Linked DNA regions of Rattus norvegicus. The protein of the gene in region 1 interacts with the protein of each later gene in a biochemical or structural test. Links are inferred from orthologs where the notes say so. Each region holds a gene or a part of one and is shown in the gene's direction. Other genes may lie near its edges.

The links.
Region 2: the proteins of Nfkb2 (region 1) and Bcl3 form a complex in vitro, tested with the Homo sapiens proteins (2 studies listed by BioGRID). The link is inferred for Rattus norvegicus from reciprocal best matches to the Homo sapiens genes NFKB2 and BCL3.
Region 3: of the proteins of Nfkb2 (region 1) and Btrc, one has a biochemical effect on the other in vitro, tested with the Homo sapiens proteins (2 studies listed by BioGRID, with this or other methods). The link is inferred for Rattus norvegicus from reciprocal best matches to the Homo sapiens genes NFKB2 and BTRC.

What each region holds. Positions count from the first base shown.
Region 1 is NC_086019.1:255,106,003-255,112,258, forward strand, and holds the start of Nfkb2 (nuclear factor NF-kappa-B p100 subunit), read left to right. Parts: upstream 1-2,371; 5' UTR 2,372-2,629; coding exon 2,630-2,650; intron 2,651-2,906; coding exon 2,907-2,988; intron 2,989-3,107; coding exon 3,108-3,148; intron 3,149-3,361; coding exon 3,362-3,460; intron 3,461-3,539; coding exon 3,540-3,691; intron 3,692-3,956; coding exon 3,957-4,063; intron 4,064-4,148; coding exon 4,149-4,307; intron 4,308-4,546; coding exon 4,547-4,651; intron 4,652-4,777; coding exon 4,778-4,863; intron 4,864-4,949; coding exon 4,950-5,088; intron 5,089-5,238; coding exon 5,239-5,364; intron 5,365-5,473; coding exon 5,474-5,680; intron 5,681-5,760; coding exon 5,761-5,902; intron 5,903-6,252; coding exon 6,253-6,256. UniProt on the Homo sapiens protein: NF-kappa-B is a pleiotropic transcription factor present in almost all cell types and is the endpoint of a series of signal transduction events that are initiated by a vast array of stimuli related to many biological processes such as inflammation, immunity, differentiation, cell growth, tumorigenesis and apoptosis.
Region 2 is NC_086019.1:88,610,061-88,616,310, reverse strand, and holds the start of Bcl3 (B-cell lymphoma 3 protein), read left to right. Parts: upstream 1-2,755; 5' UTR 2,756-2,793; coding exon 2,794-3,034; intron 3,035-5,404; coding exon 5,405-5,558; intron 5,559-6,250. UniProt on the Homo sapiens protein: Contributes to the regulation of transcriptional activation of NF-kappa-B target genes. In the cytoplasm, inhibits the nuclear translocation of the NF-kappa-B p50 subunit.
Region 3 is NC_086019.1:254,305,217-254,310,711, forward strand, and holds part of Btrc (F-box/WD repeat-containing protein 1A), read left to right. Parts: intron 1-856; coding exon 857-953; intron 954-1,567; coding exon 1,568-1,705; intron 1,706-2,140; coding exon 2,141-2,259; intron 2,260-3,914; coding exon 3,915-4,164; intron 4,165-5,426; coding exon 5,427-5,495. UniProt on the Homo sapiens protein: Substrate recognition component of a SCF (SKP1-CUL1-F-box protein) E3 ubiquitin-protein ligase complex which mediates the ubiquitination and subsequent proteasomal degradation of target proteins. Recognizes and binds to phosphorylated target proteins.

The sequences.
Region 1 (6,256 bases):
ACCTGGTGCCAGTACAAGTCTATGATCAGCTGCTAAGCAACAGGGCCAGCTGTAGGAGAGCCCTGAAAGAACCTGTGCTGTGCTACAGGACGGAGGGCTTCCGGACGGAGGGCTTCAGGACGGAGACGCACCGTACACACAGTCCCTACGGGGAAAGATGACAACACGAGGCCCAGACAGAGAACATGCTGGAAACTCTTGTCCTGACCTTGTTAGTGGAAGTGTGCGCGGAGAAGTCAGCGAAACATCATTTTCAGGGTGACTTTTTAAAAAGATTATATTCCTTATTTTTATAATTACATGGGTTTGGGGTGGGTAGGCGAGAATTGAAGAGTGTGCACCTGAATTCGGTCTCCCAGAGGCGGAGAGAGAGCCAGGGGATCCTGGTGGGGTAGTTTCAGACACGTGTGAGCTGTCCCACGCGGATCGGTCCCCTGGAAGAGCAGAAGAAGTGCTGTGCTGTCTCCCCAGCCTCCCACCCCCTTTTATGATGGTAATAGCTGGGCCTCACCCATGCAAAGCACACCACTGGCAATTTTCCACAGAGGAGGAAGTCTGAAATACACTTTGGACACCTTTGTGTGCATGTGTGTTGATAACGGGTGGAGTAAAACTTGGGATCTCTTGGTTTCAAGAAAGCTGGGACTGCAGGTGCAGTTCACACCCGGTTGGACTCCTTTCAACTCCAATAGTTGAGACATCTGTGGTGGGTGAACGAGGCCTAAGACTCCCAGCCAAACATCTTTCTTCTCTTCCTTTTCTTTTCTCCCCCCAGCGCATTGCTTCTCCAATGGATCTCTTAAAAGCCTTGGCCCTTGTGAACCGGACACTTACAGAATAAACATCTAAAGCCAGGAAACTAAGACAGTTGACCCCAGAGTTTCCTCGCGGCTCCAGAAAAGCCGCTAGATGGCGATCTGGAGCTGACCGCAAGATCCGACTCCTTCCTCTTCCCCTTACTTCCCAGCTAAGAGGCCCCTCTCCCGGAGGGTGACTGGAGTGTCCAGCTGACCCGGTTTCCTTGGGTTTCCCGTTTCAGAGATAGCCACTCTCCAGGCATAGCAAGAGCCAAAAGGCCCAATGGACTCCGTAGCGGTCCCGGGCAAGCCTGGAAAGGTGCAGAGATCCGAGCCGCTCCCTGCGCTGGTCCGCCGTCCCACCTCGCCTGTCCCCAGCAGAACTGGCGCTTGGTAACACCCCGCGGCCAGTCCCGGGCGAGCCTTCCCCGAAAGGGGCGCGCCTTCGTCGCTCCGGGTTGCTACAAGAGTCCTGGAGTTAAACTTTCAGCCAATAAAAAAGGGCATGGGGAGTGACGCACAGGAACGTCACGGGAATTCCCCCCCTCGGGGGGCCGAAAGGGGCTTTCCCGGCTGGAGCCCTACTGCTGGAGAGGAGCAACGACCGGTCCAGGGAAGGGCTCGGAAAGAAGTCGGAACCAGAGCCGCCACCACGGTGAGTGGCTGGATTCAGAACCCTGAGTGTCCAGGGAATGGAGAGGGAGGGAAGGGACACTTTAGATGACAGTCTGGGGCTGGACGCCACCTCCAGTGAGTGCGCACAGGAACAGAACACTTTGCTACACATCATCGACACGTATGCCTGCCCTTAGCCCGCCTGCGCACAGCCGGCCGGTGTCAGCCCTGCACACGCACTCGCGGGCAGAAGGGCACCAGTGCACCGGTGCCTGCACACGGACATCCAGACGTGCACGGACGTGTGCCCACACTGAGCAGCTCAAGAACTCACCTGTGTGGACGAATGCTCACTTGCACGTGCCACGTTGCCACCACTCGCACTCACCAGGCACACAAGACATTAGGGATGAAACGCACATTCCTGTAGCGGACACACGCGCAATACACATGGCTTTGGGATTGGGGTCGCCGGGGAGGGCGGAATGCGACCGGTTGCCTGGCCACCCAGAGCAGGTGCAGCGGGAGAATCCGGGAAGCTAAGACGTTCCGGAGTCTCCGGAGACCGTGAAGGGGGAAACTCCTTCCCCCCACCCAGCGGCCCGAATCACATTCTCTGGGCAGAACCCCCGGAGGCCCCACTGCAAGAGCCCCCGCCTACGGGCCATTCGGAAAAGGGGCCTCCGACGGCAGGAATGTCCCCACAAAAGCCCCTAGGTGAATCAGCCGTGTCCTCCACACTGGCTGAAAATCCCAAGGTTGCTCCAGGCTGCGGAGAGGGGGCGAGGCCGGCTAGGCCTCGACTGAGCCCCAGGGGCTGCAGCGGCTGCTGGGGAACCAGGAACAGCCTGGGCCTCCCGCCCCTCCCGCCGCGGGGGCGGGGCCCCGGCGTCATTTCCAGGCCCGCCCCCTCCGGCTCCGCCTCCCCCTGGTATTTTCGGGACTTTCCTAAGAGCACTAACTTTCTGCCCCTTCCCCGGCCCAGCCCCGATCCGGATCTCGACCTCCACCGGATCTTTCCCGCCACGCCCGGACGGGCGGCTGGAGGAGATCAGACCCTCCCCCAGATCTGAACCCCCCTCTCCTGCCCACCCCTATCCTGAGCTCTTCCCCTCTTCCCCCTCCTGTGCCTCTCTTCACCTTAGGCGGGCGTCTGAAACTCTGGGAAGCTGAACCGGGCCGAAGCCAAAAGACACAGCAGGGCCTAGCCCAGAAATATGGACCGTTGCTACGATCCAGTAAGTCACACTGCCTGACCCTGAAGGCGGCTGGTGCCGTCTGTGTCTGTATTGGACGCTCCTCCACTCCCTACTTCTGCACGGCTTCAAATTCCCCTAGTCTGTCAGTCTGTGCTGTCTGCAAACCCTGCCCAGAAAGGAGCTTCCTCATAGCTTGAAGAGGAGTCCTAGGAGTGACTGCAGAGGGCTTAAGGGGGGTGTGTGGGGGAGTGGGTGTGGGTTGAATCAGCTGCCACCTTCTCCGTCTATAAACCAGGGTTTGGATGGCATCCCTGAATATGATGATTTTGAATTCAGCCCCTCCATTGTGGAGCCCAAGGATCCAGCCCCAGAGACAGGTCAGTAAGTCTTTGGCCTCCCAGTGTCTGCAAACCTCGCGTGTTCCCTGGGGAGGCCCCACTGAGGGATGGTCTTAGATACCCCCCCCCCACGCTCAGCAAGGCCCCTCTATTTCCAGCTGATGGCCCCTATCTGGTGATTGTGGAACAGCCTAAACAGGTGAGTGAACAACAGAGATGTGATGGCTTCAGCTCTGGGGACACGTGGGGTGGTTATAACTGTCAATTGCTGCTATTTTGGGGGGTTATAAGGAAATATACAGGAGAGACACTATTGGTCATTGTGGTCAGTGTTAGCCAGTAGTTACCATGTGGGGGTGGCAGGGGGGAGTTGCCTCTCCTGATCACAGTGTCTCTTCCATGGAACCTTCAGCGAGGCTTCAGATTTCGATATGGCTGTGAAGGCCCCTCCCATGGAGGTCTGCCAGGTGCCTCCAGTGAGAAGGGCCGGAAGACCTATCCTACTGTCAAGGTGAGCTCGGATGATGACGCTGGAGGGTAGGAACGGGATATCCGCGCTACGACTGATGATGATCCTTTACCCTTCTCAGATCTGTAACTACGAGGGGCCGGCCAAGATTGAGGTGGACCTGGTGACACACAGTGACCCACCCCGTGCACATGCCCACAGTCTGGTGGGCAAGCAGTGCTCTGAGCTGGGGGTGTGTGCCGTGTCTGTGGGACCCAAGGACATGACTGCTCAGTAGGTGTTTCCGCCCGTGGCCCCCAGTGGGATGCTCACTGCCTGGCAGTCTCAGGTCTCAGCCTACCTGTGTGATTAACACACAAAGGGGGAGATGTACCTCGGCCCCAGAACCCCCAGGGCTCAGCTATAAACAGTTTCCTTGGAGGACAGAGCCCGAATGAGTCTGGCCATGTGCAGGGGTCAGGGGTGAGGGGAGGGGCGCTGCCTCAGAAGGAAAAAGCTTCATGGTCAAAGCCCTCTGACCCCTCCTTGCCCTCTCCAGATTTAATAATCTGGGTGTCCTGCATGTAACCAAGAAGAACATGATGGAGATTATGATTCAGAAACTCCAGAGGCAGCGGCTCCGCTCCAAGCCTCAGGGCCTTACAGGTGTGGTAGCAAGGGATGGCCGGGAGGTGTTTCGAGAGGAGCCGGGGAAAGGAGCTCAGAGCTCACACCACGTTGCCCCATCCAGAGGCCGAGCGCCGGGAGCTGGAGCAGGAGGCCAAGGAGCTGAAGAAAGTCATGGATTTGAGCATTGTACGGCTACGCTTCTCAGCTTTCCTTCGAGCTAGTGATGGCTCCTTCTCCCTGCCCCTGAAGCCTGTGATCTCCCAGCCCATCCACGACAGCAGTGAGTATTCTGCAGGGTGCCAAGTGTGGGTTCCCAAAGGAGCACTGGCGATACCTCCAAGCTATGGGGTTTGGCCCTGCTATGTTCGTGTTGGGTGAGTGGTCGTAAGCAAATCTGAGTGTTGTTTCCGAGTTGGTTAATGAGAATACTGTGGTTCCTGAAGTTTGATAATGATGACAATGACCTTGCCAAGCCTCCAATCCCATCAATGTGTCCCCAACCCATCCCCCACCTTATAGAGTCTCCAGGGGCCTCAAACCTGAAGATTTCCCGAATGGACAAAACAGCAGGTTCCGTGCGCGGTGGAGACGAAGTTTATTTGCTTTGCGATAAGGTGCAGAAAGGTGAGGCAGAAGCCCTCTCTGGGAGGTGGAAACATTGGCTGTAAGGCTTAGGGGCCAGGGCAATTTCGGAATGAATGCACTGGCCTGCAGGTTCTCCCTGTGGCTAAGCGTCACTTTTCTCTGTAGATGACATTGAGGTTCGTTTCTATGAGGATGACGAGAACGGATGGCAAGCCTTTGGGGACTTCTCTCCCACAGACGTTCATAAACAGGTACTGAGGAACTAGGGCCTGTCTTGGAGACAGAGCTATGAAGAGGCCTCACTGACACCATGTTGCTCTCCCACCCTCCACCCCAGTATGCCATTGTGTTCCGGACACCGCCCTATCACAAGATGAAGATTGAGAGGCCTGTAACGGTGTTCCTGCAGCTGAAACGCAAGCGTGGGGGCGATGTCTCCGACTCCAAACAGTTCACGTATTACCCTCTGGTGGAAGGTGGGTCAGGTGGGGCTTCAGCATTCCCAAAGACTGGACAGAGCAAGGCCGGCCTGGAGGTGGCCTAGAGTTGGCTCCCAGGAGCCGGCTTGAGGAATCTAGGGTCTGACCCATATTGGGTTTTAACTCCCCGATTCTCTTTCCCCCTAGACAAGGAGGAAGTACAGAGGAAGCGGAGAAAGGCCTTGCCTACCTTCTCCCAGCCCTTCGGGGGCGGATCCCACATGGGTGGAGGTTCTGGGGGCTCCGCTGGGGGTTATGGAGGCGCTGGAGGAGGTGAGCAGGTGTCCGTGGCAGGGAAAGGGGTGGAGGAGATAAGGCGAAGTTAGAAGAGAAATCTGGGAGAGTCCTGGCTAGCACCTCACAGCCTTCCCCATGCCCACAGGTGGCAGCCTCGGCTTTTTCTCCTCCTTCGCCTACAGCCCCTACCAATCCGGTGCAGCCCCAATGGGCTGCTTCCCGGGTGGGGGAGGTGGAGCGCAGATGGCCGGCTCTGGACGGGACGCGGAGGCTGGCGAGGCAGAGGAGCAGCCCAGAGCACCCTCCGAGGCCCCCCAGAGCGAGCAGCAGGCCCTGGACACGCTGCAGCGAGGTAGGTCTTAGGAACTCTGGGGGACGGGCGTGCACCAGGCTGGGGGTCTGGCCCGCACCCACGCGCCCTGTCGTCCCTAGCTCGCGAGTACAACGCGCGCCTGTTCGGTCTGGCGCAGCGCAGCGCCCGAGCGTTGCTGGACTACGGCGTCACCGCGGACGCGCGTGCTCTGCTAGCGGGACAGCGCCACCTGCTGATGGCACAGGACGAGAACGGAGACACGTAAGCAACCACCACAGGACCGACGTCTGTGGGACCTCCAGTGGCTGGGATCTTCTGCTCCCAGGTCTAGAGGTTCAGGTAGAGGAATCTGCAAAGAGCTGAACCCTGGGGTTGGACAGATCTGGTCTCAGGTCCTCGCTGTTTTCTAGATATTTACTTACTCTCTCTGACCTTCAATATTATTAGCTATGAAGAGGCACAATAGCAAGGCGTGACAAAAGATTAAGATGGTGGCATACAGGTTTCAAGGGGCCTCAGTAAGGGAGACAGTGGAGTGTGGAGTTTTGAGGGCATATGATGCTCTGGGTGACTGGGTTTCTGAGGTCAAAAGTCTCACTCTCCACCCCCAGGCCG
Region 2 (6,250 bases), about 170 Mb from region 1:
ATGGAAAAGGTCACTGAGGTCATTGGGGACAGGAACCCAAGGGCCTGGCATGACCGGAAAGAACCTTATCATTGAGCTGTACCCCAGGATATATAATGTATATAAGACATTTACTTAGAGTGTGTTTGTGTGTGCACATGGGGCAAGACGTGCGAAGGACCTTGTGGGAGCCAGTTGTCCCCTCTGACCCAATACTGAACTCAAGTCATTCTGCTTGGTGATTAGCACCTTTAACTGTTAGGCCACCTCACTGGCCACTTCTTCATTTGTGGGACCACGTAGCCCAGGCTGGCCTCAAACGTTCTCTCTAGGTGGCTAAGGCTGGGCTTGGTCCTAGCCCACCTGAATTTACCTCCATGGCGCTGGAATGCCAAGCATACACCACCATGCTCAAGCAGCAATTTTGGCTTTGACTTATATCATTGAGATAGAGTGTCCACAAGTTGCCCAGTTAGTCTTCAATCCACTCTGTAGCCCAGGCTAGTTTCAACCTTTCTATACTCTTTCCTTAGCTCCTGAGTACCTTGAATTACAGGCAAATGCAACTCCCCAGGTGGCTTGGAGGTAAGATTTGAACACAGATCTCTTCAAATCAGCTGATTCACCTTAATGGCACACTGTGGGGTGGGGTGGGGGTGGGGCAGCCGGAGGGAGACAAAAGGCGATGGGAAGTGGTAAAGTCACCTGGCACCTCGAATCCACAAACCAGGTTAACCATCCACCTGGGTGCGGCCCCAGCCGGCCAAAGTCCATTCACAGGCTTCACACCCACTTTCTTGGTCCCAAAGAAACACCACGGAGGTCACAGAAACTAAAAGGGACAGAAAAATGGAGGTGGTGGTTCACGCCTGTAATCTCAGCACCGAGGCTGAGGTAGGAAGATTGTCCCTAGTTCGTGGCCAGCCTGAGCTACAGAGACTCTTCTTGTCTGGAAAAAAAGGAGTCGGGAAACAGGATGAGGAGACAGGTTTGTAGAGACACATGGACCTGCAGAGAGAAAATCAGGGGACCCTGAGAATCCTCTGGGCAGGTTTGCCTGCGGTGCCTATTCCCCTGCCTCTCTGTCTACAAAGCCGCCCCGCCCCCCTCCGCCTCCCTGTGACTCAGTGACCTGGACTCAACCCCAGTGTGTGCTCCACCTCCCGGGATGTCCGGGAAAGCCCCGAGCTGCTGTGTCCCGCCCCGGGGCGGACCCGGAGGAGGCGGAGCCTCTGCCCCGCCTCCTAGGCTCCTGCGCGTTTGAGTCAGGGCCCCAACCAGCCCGGCCTGTTCCCCACCAGCCAGCCCCTCCTTGGGGTGGGAAGGGAAGTGGGGAAAGCTGAGGGAGTCAACCTGCACCCCCAACCCCCCACAAGTGTCTGGCCTCGAGCCCTAGCTGAGGTCTGCAGATCTAAACTCTTAACTCCCCCTATCTACACTTGCATCTCTCAGGATCTGTCTCTTCCCTCTCTCTGCATCTGGGATTCATTGGTGCTTTTTTCTCTGAGGCCTCTAGCTGGTTGCTGGGGACCTGACAGGGAGACCCATTCAAAGCTCGCCTGCACCCCTAACCACCCTGTGCCCTGTGAATCAGGAGGGACAAGGAAGGCAGAGGGTGGCTACATTCTGGGCATCAGCCAAGAACCAGTCCCTGCCCTGGGCTGGGCTTTTCTCGTGCACAAAGAGTGAGTCTGAGCTTACCCTGATGGTGCAGATTCCACCCCACCTCAAGAGACAGGCAGGAGGATTTCAAGTTCAAAGCCATCCTGGGCAACAAAGGCAAGGCCAGGCCGGGCAGCTTAGTCTTAAAATGGAACGCAAAGAGGGCTGGGAGAGGGCGCAGTGTGCACAAGCCTAGGCTCTAGCATTGCGAAAAGGAACCGGCTCAGAGGGAGAAGAGCATGGCCAAGGTCACCCATGAGGAAGTAGGGCTCAGGATTCAGACCGATGCCCTAGGAACCCTGGGGCCTCTAAGAACTTCAGGGTTGGGACCGAGGGAGATGGTTGGTTGAAAGACTCAGAAACACTAAAGGAAAGATGGGACCAGTGGGAGGGGAGTCTCATAAATGTAGACCCCGATAGCCAGACACAGACAAGAGATTCGGGGGGGGGGTTGGGGGACGGGCTGAGAAGCAAGATCCTTAGCACGCAGGAGCCCCCACTCAGTCAACAGAAACGTTTGCTTGTTTTAGTGTTCCAGGGAAGATGAGGTGGAGGTGGGAGGATCCGGAATTCAAGGTCATCCTCTGCTACATAGCAAATTCAAGGTAGCCTGGGCTATGTGACCCCTGGTAGAAGAGAAAGGAAAGAAGGAAGGATAGATAGATAGATAGATAGATAGATAGATAGATAGATAGATAGATAGATAGATAGATAGATCAAGGCACAGTAGTACAGGAGTCATTTCAGAACTCAGGAGGTGGAAACAGGAGGAGCAGAAGTTCAAGACCACCCTCTGCTACATAGCGATTTCGAGGCTAGCCTGGTCTACATGAGCTCCAGTCTAACAAAGTGAGAGACAGACAGAAAGTGTGGGAATCTCAAGGACTCAGATCCAGAGCTCCGGACCAGAGGCACAATGAGCAGAGTGGCGGGTGGGGACCAGGAGCTCCGCCTCTGAGACACGGGTCCAGGAAACCCCTGGGGCGGACGGGTGGCCCCGGGGGCCCGGGGGCGGGGAGGCGGGAGGCGGGCGCCGCCCGGACTGACAAAAGTCCCTTCAGTTCAGTCGGCGGCAGGGGAAGTCCCGCAGCCCGGCGAGACCGCCTTCCCGTGCTGAGCTCGCCGCACGCCCCGGCGTCTCCGGGCGGCCCGATGCCCCGATGCCCCGCGGGGGCCATGGACGAGGGGCCCGTGGACCTACGCACCCGGCCCAAGGGCATCTCAGGCGCCGCGCTGCCACTCCGCAAGCGCCCGCTGCGTCCCGCGTCTCCAGAGCCCGCAGCCCCGCGAGGTCCTGCTGGACCCCTGGACGCCCTGCGCAGCAACTGCGACGTCCCGGCTGTCCCTGGACCCCCTCACTGCGTGGCCAGGCCGGAGGCTCTTTACTACCAGGGTGAGTGGCCTCCCCCATGAGAGTCAAGGCCGGGTGGGGGCCACCTAAGGTCAGCAGAACATAGGACACAAATAGATGGGGTTTCTGGTAGCTGGAACTCCAGGGTAGAAGTTGGTGTCCCAGAGACAGCTAGGAAAGAGGTTGAGAAACACTGGAGCTCAGCCATGAAGGTGCCAAGGGGCTCACCCAGGCAGGTGCCCAAGGGTCAAATGGCCTTGGGGGTGGAGGTCAGAAGACAGTGTCCAGTGGCGCAGATATGGGGTCCCAATTCACTCCAGAGATGCAAAATGGCTGGGAGAGACCAGATGTTCAGGACTATGAAATAATTGTTACTCGGGCCTTGGAAACTGGGGTTCTGGTAAGCAGATTTGGGGAGATGAATAGAAACAGACCTGGGGTCCAAGGAAGCTGATACCGTAGGTTAAAATCTTGGGAACCAAGGTTTCAGGGGGTATAGGGACTGAGAGAAAGGCATTTGGGTCTGAGCACCCCCGTGTTTGGGCCACAACTCTACACGATGACATGAAGAGCCCCAAGGACCCCAATATTTTGCAGACGCGGAGGAGTCAGCAAACAGAGCCAGCATTCTGCAGGCCATTTGCGTGCACTCACAAGTGTTCCTAGGTCAGGTAGCCCTGGGGGCAGGTTTGGGGACAGAGGGTTCTAAGAGGGGGAACACGAGGAGGTTAGAAACTGAAGGACTTAGGTCCAAGAGGAATTCAGAGACCTAGAAAGGTAGGACTTCAGAAAGGGAACCCTAAAGCTGGTCAGAGAGCAGGAAACCAGATACTCTTCTCCTCAACTTTTATATCCAGGAAGGGGCATCCCCTGCAGTAGCTACATTACTATCTGCTAAATACCCCAGAGATGATGAGTTTCTCTGGGCCCTCCAGGGTCTCCAGCTTCTACCTATCCATGCTTCAGCTGGAGGACACTGTGTGACAGGAGGCCTTCCTCCGTCTGATGTGAACCCTGTCCTCCATTTTCCCATCCGTGCAATGGTCCTTCCAACCGTGTCACCCAAAAGGGTTCTAGGGATAAGTTTCCTGACTCTCCCAATGCACCAGACCCCAAGACCCCTATTAGTTCATCATTTATTCTTTCAACTATGAGATTACTCAGTGTAGTCTTATTCCTGAGGTCCCACACTGGGTGGTGACAGGGCTCTCTCTGCCCTTAAGGGTCTTTTCTGCTGTTAGAGGTCAGACATTTGTGAGAGAAGAGATGTGATGTAGAAAGGAATAGAGATGAGGGATGGAAGTTAGGGGTAAGAGATGGAGGTTAGGGATGAGGGATGAGGGATGGGGTTAGGGATGAGGGATGGGGGTTGGGGTTGAGGGATGAAGGGTGCAGGAGTTGGGAAGAGGGGTATAAACAAGAACATTGTCTTAGACCTTGAGGGCCAAGTTTGAGGAGCTAATGGAACCTGATAGTCGAACACTGTATCTGCAAGCCTGTAGTAATCCCAGCACTTGGGAAGCTGAGGCAGGAGGATCTCCTTGAGTTTGAGGCCAGTCTGGACTCCATAGTGACACAATGTTTCAAAGGAGAGGTGGGGGCCAAAGAGAGGGTTTAGTGGTTAAAAGCACTTGGCGGCTCTTGCAGAGGACTAGAGCTTGTTCCCAGCATCCACATCTGACTGCTCACGGTTCTGGGGATGCAGCGCCCTCTGCTGGCCTCTGAGGGGGTCAGGCAGGCCTGTGGTACATACTCAGGCATTATTCATGGGCATTAAAACAGTAAATACAACCTTTAAAAGTAATAACTAAAAATAGATCTTTAGGGTTGGGGATTTGGCTCAGTGGTGCAAGCGCAAGGCCCTGGGTTCGGTCCCCAGCTCCAAAAAAAAAAGAAAAAAAAAAGAAAAAAAAATAAATCTTTAAAAGAAAAGGGACCTTGGGACAGGGAAGATGGCTCCGCCATTAAAAGTATTCACTGTTCTTTCAGTGGGCTTGAGTTCAGATCCCAGCACCCATGTGAGGACTTACCAATCCTTGTTAACGCCAGTTTAAGAGGATCTGGCACCCTCCAGTGGCCTCTGTGGGCACATGCACAAATGTGGCACACACACACACACACACACACACACACACACACACTTTGAAAATAAAGAAATATTTATTTTTTTAAAGAAAAAAATCTCATAGTATATGAGGTGATACAGCTCTTATAAGCCCAGCACGGAGGGGAATGGAGGCAGGGGGATCAAGGATTCGAGGTTATCCTCAGCTGCATCAGGATCATCCCGGGCTACATAAGAATGGAAACAGGGCATCTGAGAGGATGCTAAGACCCAAAGAGAGAGACCCCCTGCACAAAGGCCTGTGGGGTTGGCTTCATCCGGGTCTCCGCTTGTCTCTGCTCTTCCAGGACCTCTGATGCCCATGTACTCTACCCCGACTATGGCCCCGCCCTTTCCGCTGCTGAACCTGCCTACTCACCCCTACTCCATGATTTGCCCCGTGGAGCACCCCCTTTCAGCTGACATTGCCATGGCCACCCGGGTGGATGAGGACGGAGACACGTAAGTGACAGGGTGTGGGAGGAGCTCAGACCTCCGCAACAAGGGGCTATCAGGCTCTGCCGCCACCGCCGGCCAACACTGAACAGCACCCTCTCCTCTGCTCACAGCTTCCTTTTACAGGCAATGGGCACTCATTGGCTAATACGGTTAGAAGGACAGTGACTTTTTTTCTTTTTGGTTGTGGGGGTGGGAGACCGAACCTTGCACATGCTCCGTTCTTGCTGCTCTAACAGGAAGCCACGCCCCCAACCTCTCAGAATTTTTATTATAATCCAAATATGAGAACTATATATCTTTGTTTTAATTTCTTTTACTGTTATTTTTGTATATGGGTGTTTTGTCCCTGTGAGTTTCTGTGCACTGTGTATATATGCCTGGTGCCTGAGGAGGCCAGAAAAAGGCATCGGATCCCCCTGGAAATGGAGTTATAGATAGTGGGAAGCTTCTATGGGTCTTCTGGAAGAGCAACCATTGCTTTTAACCGCCGAGCCCGCTTTCTAGCCCTTTTCCCATTTTTGAGTCAAGATCTTACTATGTGGCCCTAAGTGACCTGAAACTCACTCTGTAGAGCAGGCTAGCCTCAAACTCACATAGATACGCCTTCATCCACCCCCTGAGCGCTAGGATCAAAGGTGTTCTTCGCCACACCCAGCTCTGGGAACTGTTTTATCTGCTGATTTTCTGGAGGTCAC
Region 3 (5,495 bases), about 800 kb from region 1:
TTACCTTTGTTTGTTTGTTTGTTTGGTAGCAGTCTAGCTTGGCTGTGAGCCTTTAGAAATGTGCTGTCGTAAGGAAGGGCACGTAACGTGCTGCATGCCCGAGTCAAAGTCAGGAAATGGCATCTGTGTGCACGCCAGAGCACGCCTCTGAAAGCAGCCTCCTGCCTCACATATGATGCACCTCTTCCCTCCCTACTGTTAGACATGCATGCAGTCCTTTGTCTCTGTTGTAGGACCTGAACTGCCTCTTTTGGCAGTGATCAGGAATAGCCAGGGTGACCAAGCAGACAGCTAGCAACACACCTTACTCTGTGCTAAATAACATGAAGCTCGATCATGACAGAAGGAAGCATTTCTGTTACCCAGCATGCTAGGCGTCCTCTGACGCTGGCACAGCTTGACTCGGGCTTGTGCTAGTTCGGCGGCAGCACACTGGTAGAGTGGTAAGCTGCTGTGCCCAGTGAGCATTGCTCTGGGTTCAAGCCACAGCACTAAGGGAGAAAAGGCAATAGTTATTATTAACCAGAGGAATCACCATTTTATCAAACGATGAAGTCAGTAAATGTATAGAAGCCTAACAGACCAGCAGATGGGTTCTGAGTATACTTCTATCAGCCTAAAGCATCCCAGAGGGCTTGGTACTCTGACATTCTGTACTGGAACCAATGTTGGTCCAGTTCCTTAGATTCCACGTTAACATTTTGACAGAGGACTCCAAAAATCAGCTGACCATCGTGCCTTGCCAGACTCATTAATGGAAGTTATGTGTAATGGTAGCTGAAATACTTTGTGAAAAGTAGAAAGCTGCTTATAAATGGATTTATGATATTTTCACTGGTCAATATTTGTTTTTTAGGGGACAATACTTATTCAAAAACAAACCTCCTGATGAGAATGCGCCTCCCAACTCCTTTTATAGAGCGCTTTATCCTAAAATTATACAAGACATTGAGGTAAGAATCGATGTTTCCAGACATTTGCTGAGTGGAAATGTATCATTAGTATGCTTAAGTTACAGTACTATAGAAAACCCATTAAACTTTTCAATGTGAATCAGCAGAAGTTGGTATCTTTACTAGAATAAGGTTGATAAAGTACAGAAAATTCCTGGCCAAATTTTGTCCAGCTTTAAAACCTTTGTAGAGAAGGATTGCCACCTTCCTAAAACAGCAGTGTGAGTTTGCAACTCTGACGCTGGTGAGCTTCAAGAAAGGCCATCAGCAGGCATGGATACCACGTGCCTAAGAGGAACACTGGGCCTGCAGCCTTACTTGGTGCCTACCTTTTAGCTTGTTGTATGAAGCATATTGAGCAGTGGCTCTCAACCTTCCTAATGTGTGGTAGTGACCTCCAGCCATAAAAATTATTTTCATTGCTACTTCATAACTGTAATTTTGCTACTGTTGTGAATTGTAATGTAGATGTCTGTTTTCCAGTGGTCTTAAACCACCCCTGTGAAAGGGTTGATGAGGCCCCAAAGGGGTGGAGACCCACAGGATGAGAACCCCTGCCGTAAACTGAGGTGCCTTCTTTCCTAATTAACTGTTGCTTTGGAACCTCTGTTTAGACAATAGAGTCCAATTGGAGATGTGGGCGACACAGTTTACAGAGAATCCACTGCCGGAGTGAAACAAGTAAAGGGGTCTACTGTTTACAGTATGATGACCAGAAGATAGTCAGTGGCCTTCGAGACAACACCATCAAGGTGACTGGACCCTCCTCACGGGAGGAGCATTGTTGGAGGAGGGTGACCACACTCACACAGCAGTCTGAAGCCTGGCCTTGAGTGTTGTTTCTAGAACATGAGAATCATTTCCCTGAAGGGCAAATGTCTGCTTCTCCCCACACAATCGTATAAATGCGTAGTCCAGGGTTGAACCCCCTTCTAGAAGTGCACTGATGGGGGAACTGTTGTTACTTTGGCCTTGGTAATTATAGGCTACTCTTCCGCCTTGATGAAAAGGATAAGTTAGCATTAGAGCTGAAGTCAACACATCCAGGAGCTTAGCTCAACCTGGAGGAAAGAACGCAGTCTTGCCCTCTCTGGGCTTTGATGTTGGGGATCACACATGTCCAGAACAACAAGTCTCCACAGCACCCATTATGACAGTGATCAAAAGGGTCTCGTTTGCCATCCTAGATCTGGGATAAAAGCACACTGGAATGCAAGCGGATTCTCACAGGCCACACAGGCTCTGTCCTGTGTCTGCAGTATGACGAGAGGGTGATCATCACGGGCTCCTCAGACTCCACCGTCAGGTATGGCCCTGCTACCCCTTTGAACTCTAAGCCTCCGATTTGTGTCACAGTGACTGCGTCTTGGTGAACTCAGTTCGGAAACTAAAGAATAAGCTGTTAGCTTCCTGTCGGTCACTTGTCACTCCAGAACCAACACTTGATGTTGGAACCGTTGGGTAGATTTCTACTTTGGCACATTTAAGAAGCTACACACAGACTTTAATTTGGAGGAGCACCTGTCCTAGGAACTCCCCCTCTATATGGGAAGCCTTGTATTCCTTATGGAGCTAGCTCACGGGAATGGCAGGAAGGGAATGAAGGCTGACTTTCAGGTGATTGTAACTGCGGGGCAGGCATGTGCGAGCTCTTTCAAGTGGATACAGCCCTCCCCTGCCATCCCCACAGTGTTTAATTGCAAGCTTTACTCTAGGAGGGGGCCCTCAATTTCCAGAGGCTCTGGTGATTTGATGGCACAGCCGTTGTGCTGCTGGAGTCCAGTGTTGCTTGAGTTCAGGATTCTAGTGCACTGCTGGGAACCTGCCAGGGATTTCCCCTGAAGCTAAGGGTTTGCAAACACACCAAAAGTCACTTTTTATAACAACTGGAATAGACGGCAGTTATCTGCATTGTCAAATTCTCTAAAGTTATCCCTGTAAATAGGGATAGTGTTCCTTCTACTTCTAGCCACAACAGACCCCCCCCCCCCTTGCAGTCGCTGGCTCTTAACTCTTGGCCTTTGGGGTGCCTCACAGGAGCTGGAGCATGGTAGATGTTTAGGTCATTTACAGAATAGGGGAGAGATGGTGTTTGTTTGCTGTCTTGGTGGTTTGGGGATTGAACCCAGGACTTAGCATGCTAAATAGCAGTCCACCTCCTAGCAACACTACAGCACAAAACTATCTTTCCAAAAGGAGGGTAAACTGGGAAGGAGAAACCCAATCAATGTGCAGAAAGAAAGCAATTGAGGCAATTCTATCTTGGCACAGTTCTCAAGCTCTGCAAGGGTCTCCACTGCCATAAAGCACATGCTTAACGTGGGCGGGAGGGCTCCTCTTGACCAGCCTGCCCCTGAAAAGCACGAAAACGGATGGAGCCTTGGAGTTAGAGTCTAAGGTAGAGAACTTAACGTTCAGGGAAGTAAAAGTCGAGTCCGCATTACTCAATCTGTGGCAGAACATCATGGCCCGTGGATGCAGTGATTGGACAGATACTACTGCTGTTCCTTAGCAGGCTCCTGTTTCCATGTGCCTTCTGTATTGAATGTCAGTATTAAAATAATAACCCAAAAAGCTGGGCCAAATTACCAGATGAGAGTGACTCTCATCCCTGAGCGCTGCGCAGGAAGCCTCGCTAAGCCTGTCCTCTGCGTTGTTTCCTGTGTGTGCTCTACCTGGGGGACGCAGAGAAAAAGCACACTTGCCATCAAAGTGGGAGGTGAGCCAGACATGGTGGTGCACACCCTTAGTCCCAGCACATGGAAGGCAGAGGCAGGTGGATCTCTGTGAGTTCACAGACATTCTGGTCTACAAAGTGAGTGGGGACAGCAAGGACTACACAGAGAGACCCCCATCTCTAAAACAAAAAGAAAGTAGGGGTGGCATTGATGGTAAGCTCCATGGTAAAAAACAGGCATGCATTGTCCTTCACGCTATCGGTCTCCCCGGTACCCTTTTCAGAGTGTGGGACGTAAATGCAGGGGAGATGCTAAACACATTGATTCACCACTGTGAAGCCGTCCTGCACCTGCGCTTCAATAACGGCATGATGGTGACCTGCTCCAAAGACCGATCCATTGCTGTGTGGGATATGGCTTCCCCAACTGACATCACCCTCAGGAGGGTGCTGGTGGGCCACCGAGCTGCGGTCAATGTTGTCGACTTTGATGACAAGTACATCGTTTCTGCCTCTGGAGACAGAACCATAAAGGTAACAACAGGCCACCTCTCAGGAAGTTCACAACTGCAGCAAGGAGTTTGTGTGGTTGAGGACAGCTCTGTGCATAAGTATTGTTGTAGAATAATTTAATAATTCAATTCAAATTTTATCTTTTTTTTTAAGATTTGTTTTATGTATATGAATACACTGTTGCTGTCTTCAGACACACCAGAAGAGGGTGTCAGATCCATTACAGATGGTTGTGAGCCACCATGTGGTTGCTGGGAATTGAACTTAGGCTCTTAACCACTGAGCCATCTCTCCAGCCCCCCAATTTTTTTTTTTTTAATCAGAGCTGAGGACCGAACCCAGGGCCTTGAGCTTGCTAGGCAAACGCTCTACCACTGAGCTAAGTCCCCAACCCTGGAGGTATAACTTAATGGCAGACCACTTGTCTGGTATGCCCAAGACCCAGCATGGAAAAATGACAGTGCCACAGATGGTGGCAATGACAGGGAGCATGGGAAAAGGAGACGCTAGTTTAAGGTCAAGAAAATACATACTAGAGCTAAGGAAATGACCAGTGTGACAAAGCCCTCGCCACATAAGCATGAGAACCTGCATTCAGATTCCCAACAGCCATGGGAAAGCCAGATGCATCACCTCACATTAGTAGTCTTATTGCTCAGGAGGCAACGGTGCCCAGTCCCCAGTGGTCAGTGGCCAGCCATCCCAGCCAAATAGTAAGCTTCGTGTTCAAAGGCCCTGTCTGAAGAATAAGGTGGAGGGGCTCAAGGCAGCTCAGTGTGTTCAGACTGCTTTCGCCAAGGACCTGAGTTTAGTTGTTTGCATGCAGATAGTGGCTCAAAACTACCTGAGTCTCGAGCTCCAGAGGATCCAACTTCTGGCCCTGTGGATCCTTCCAGAGGATCCTTCCTTCCAGCTCACACATGGTACACACAAACTCAAGCGTTACAATACACATAAAAAATATCTCCAAGGGCTGGAGAGATGGCTCAGCCGTTAAAGGCTAGGCTCACAACCAAAAAATATCTCCAAAAAAAGTAAGGTAGAAGGAACTGAGGAGGACACTGAGTATGCACACACACGAAAGGAGACTAATTCATAGAGTAAGTCATTGGCACAGTCTCATGTGACAGCAGCCAGCTTCCCATTAGCTCTCCGGTGCTATGAATTAAACCTGGCTCTTGTTTTCCATTGCTGTTTCCTCTGTTGAGTCTCTTCTGTTTCCTGCTTACCTTTTACTGGTAGAAGTACCGATCCACTGCTCAGCTGTCACTTTTGTGTCTCAGGTGTGGAACACAAGTACCTGTGAATTTGTAAGGACCCTAAATGGGCACAAGCGTGGTATCGCCTGTTTG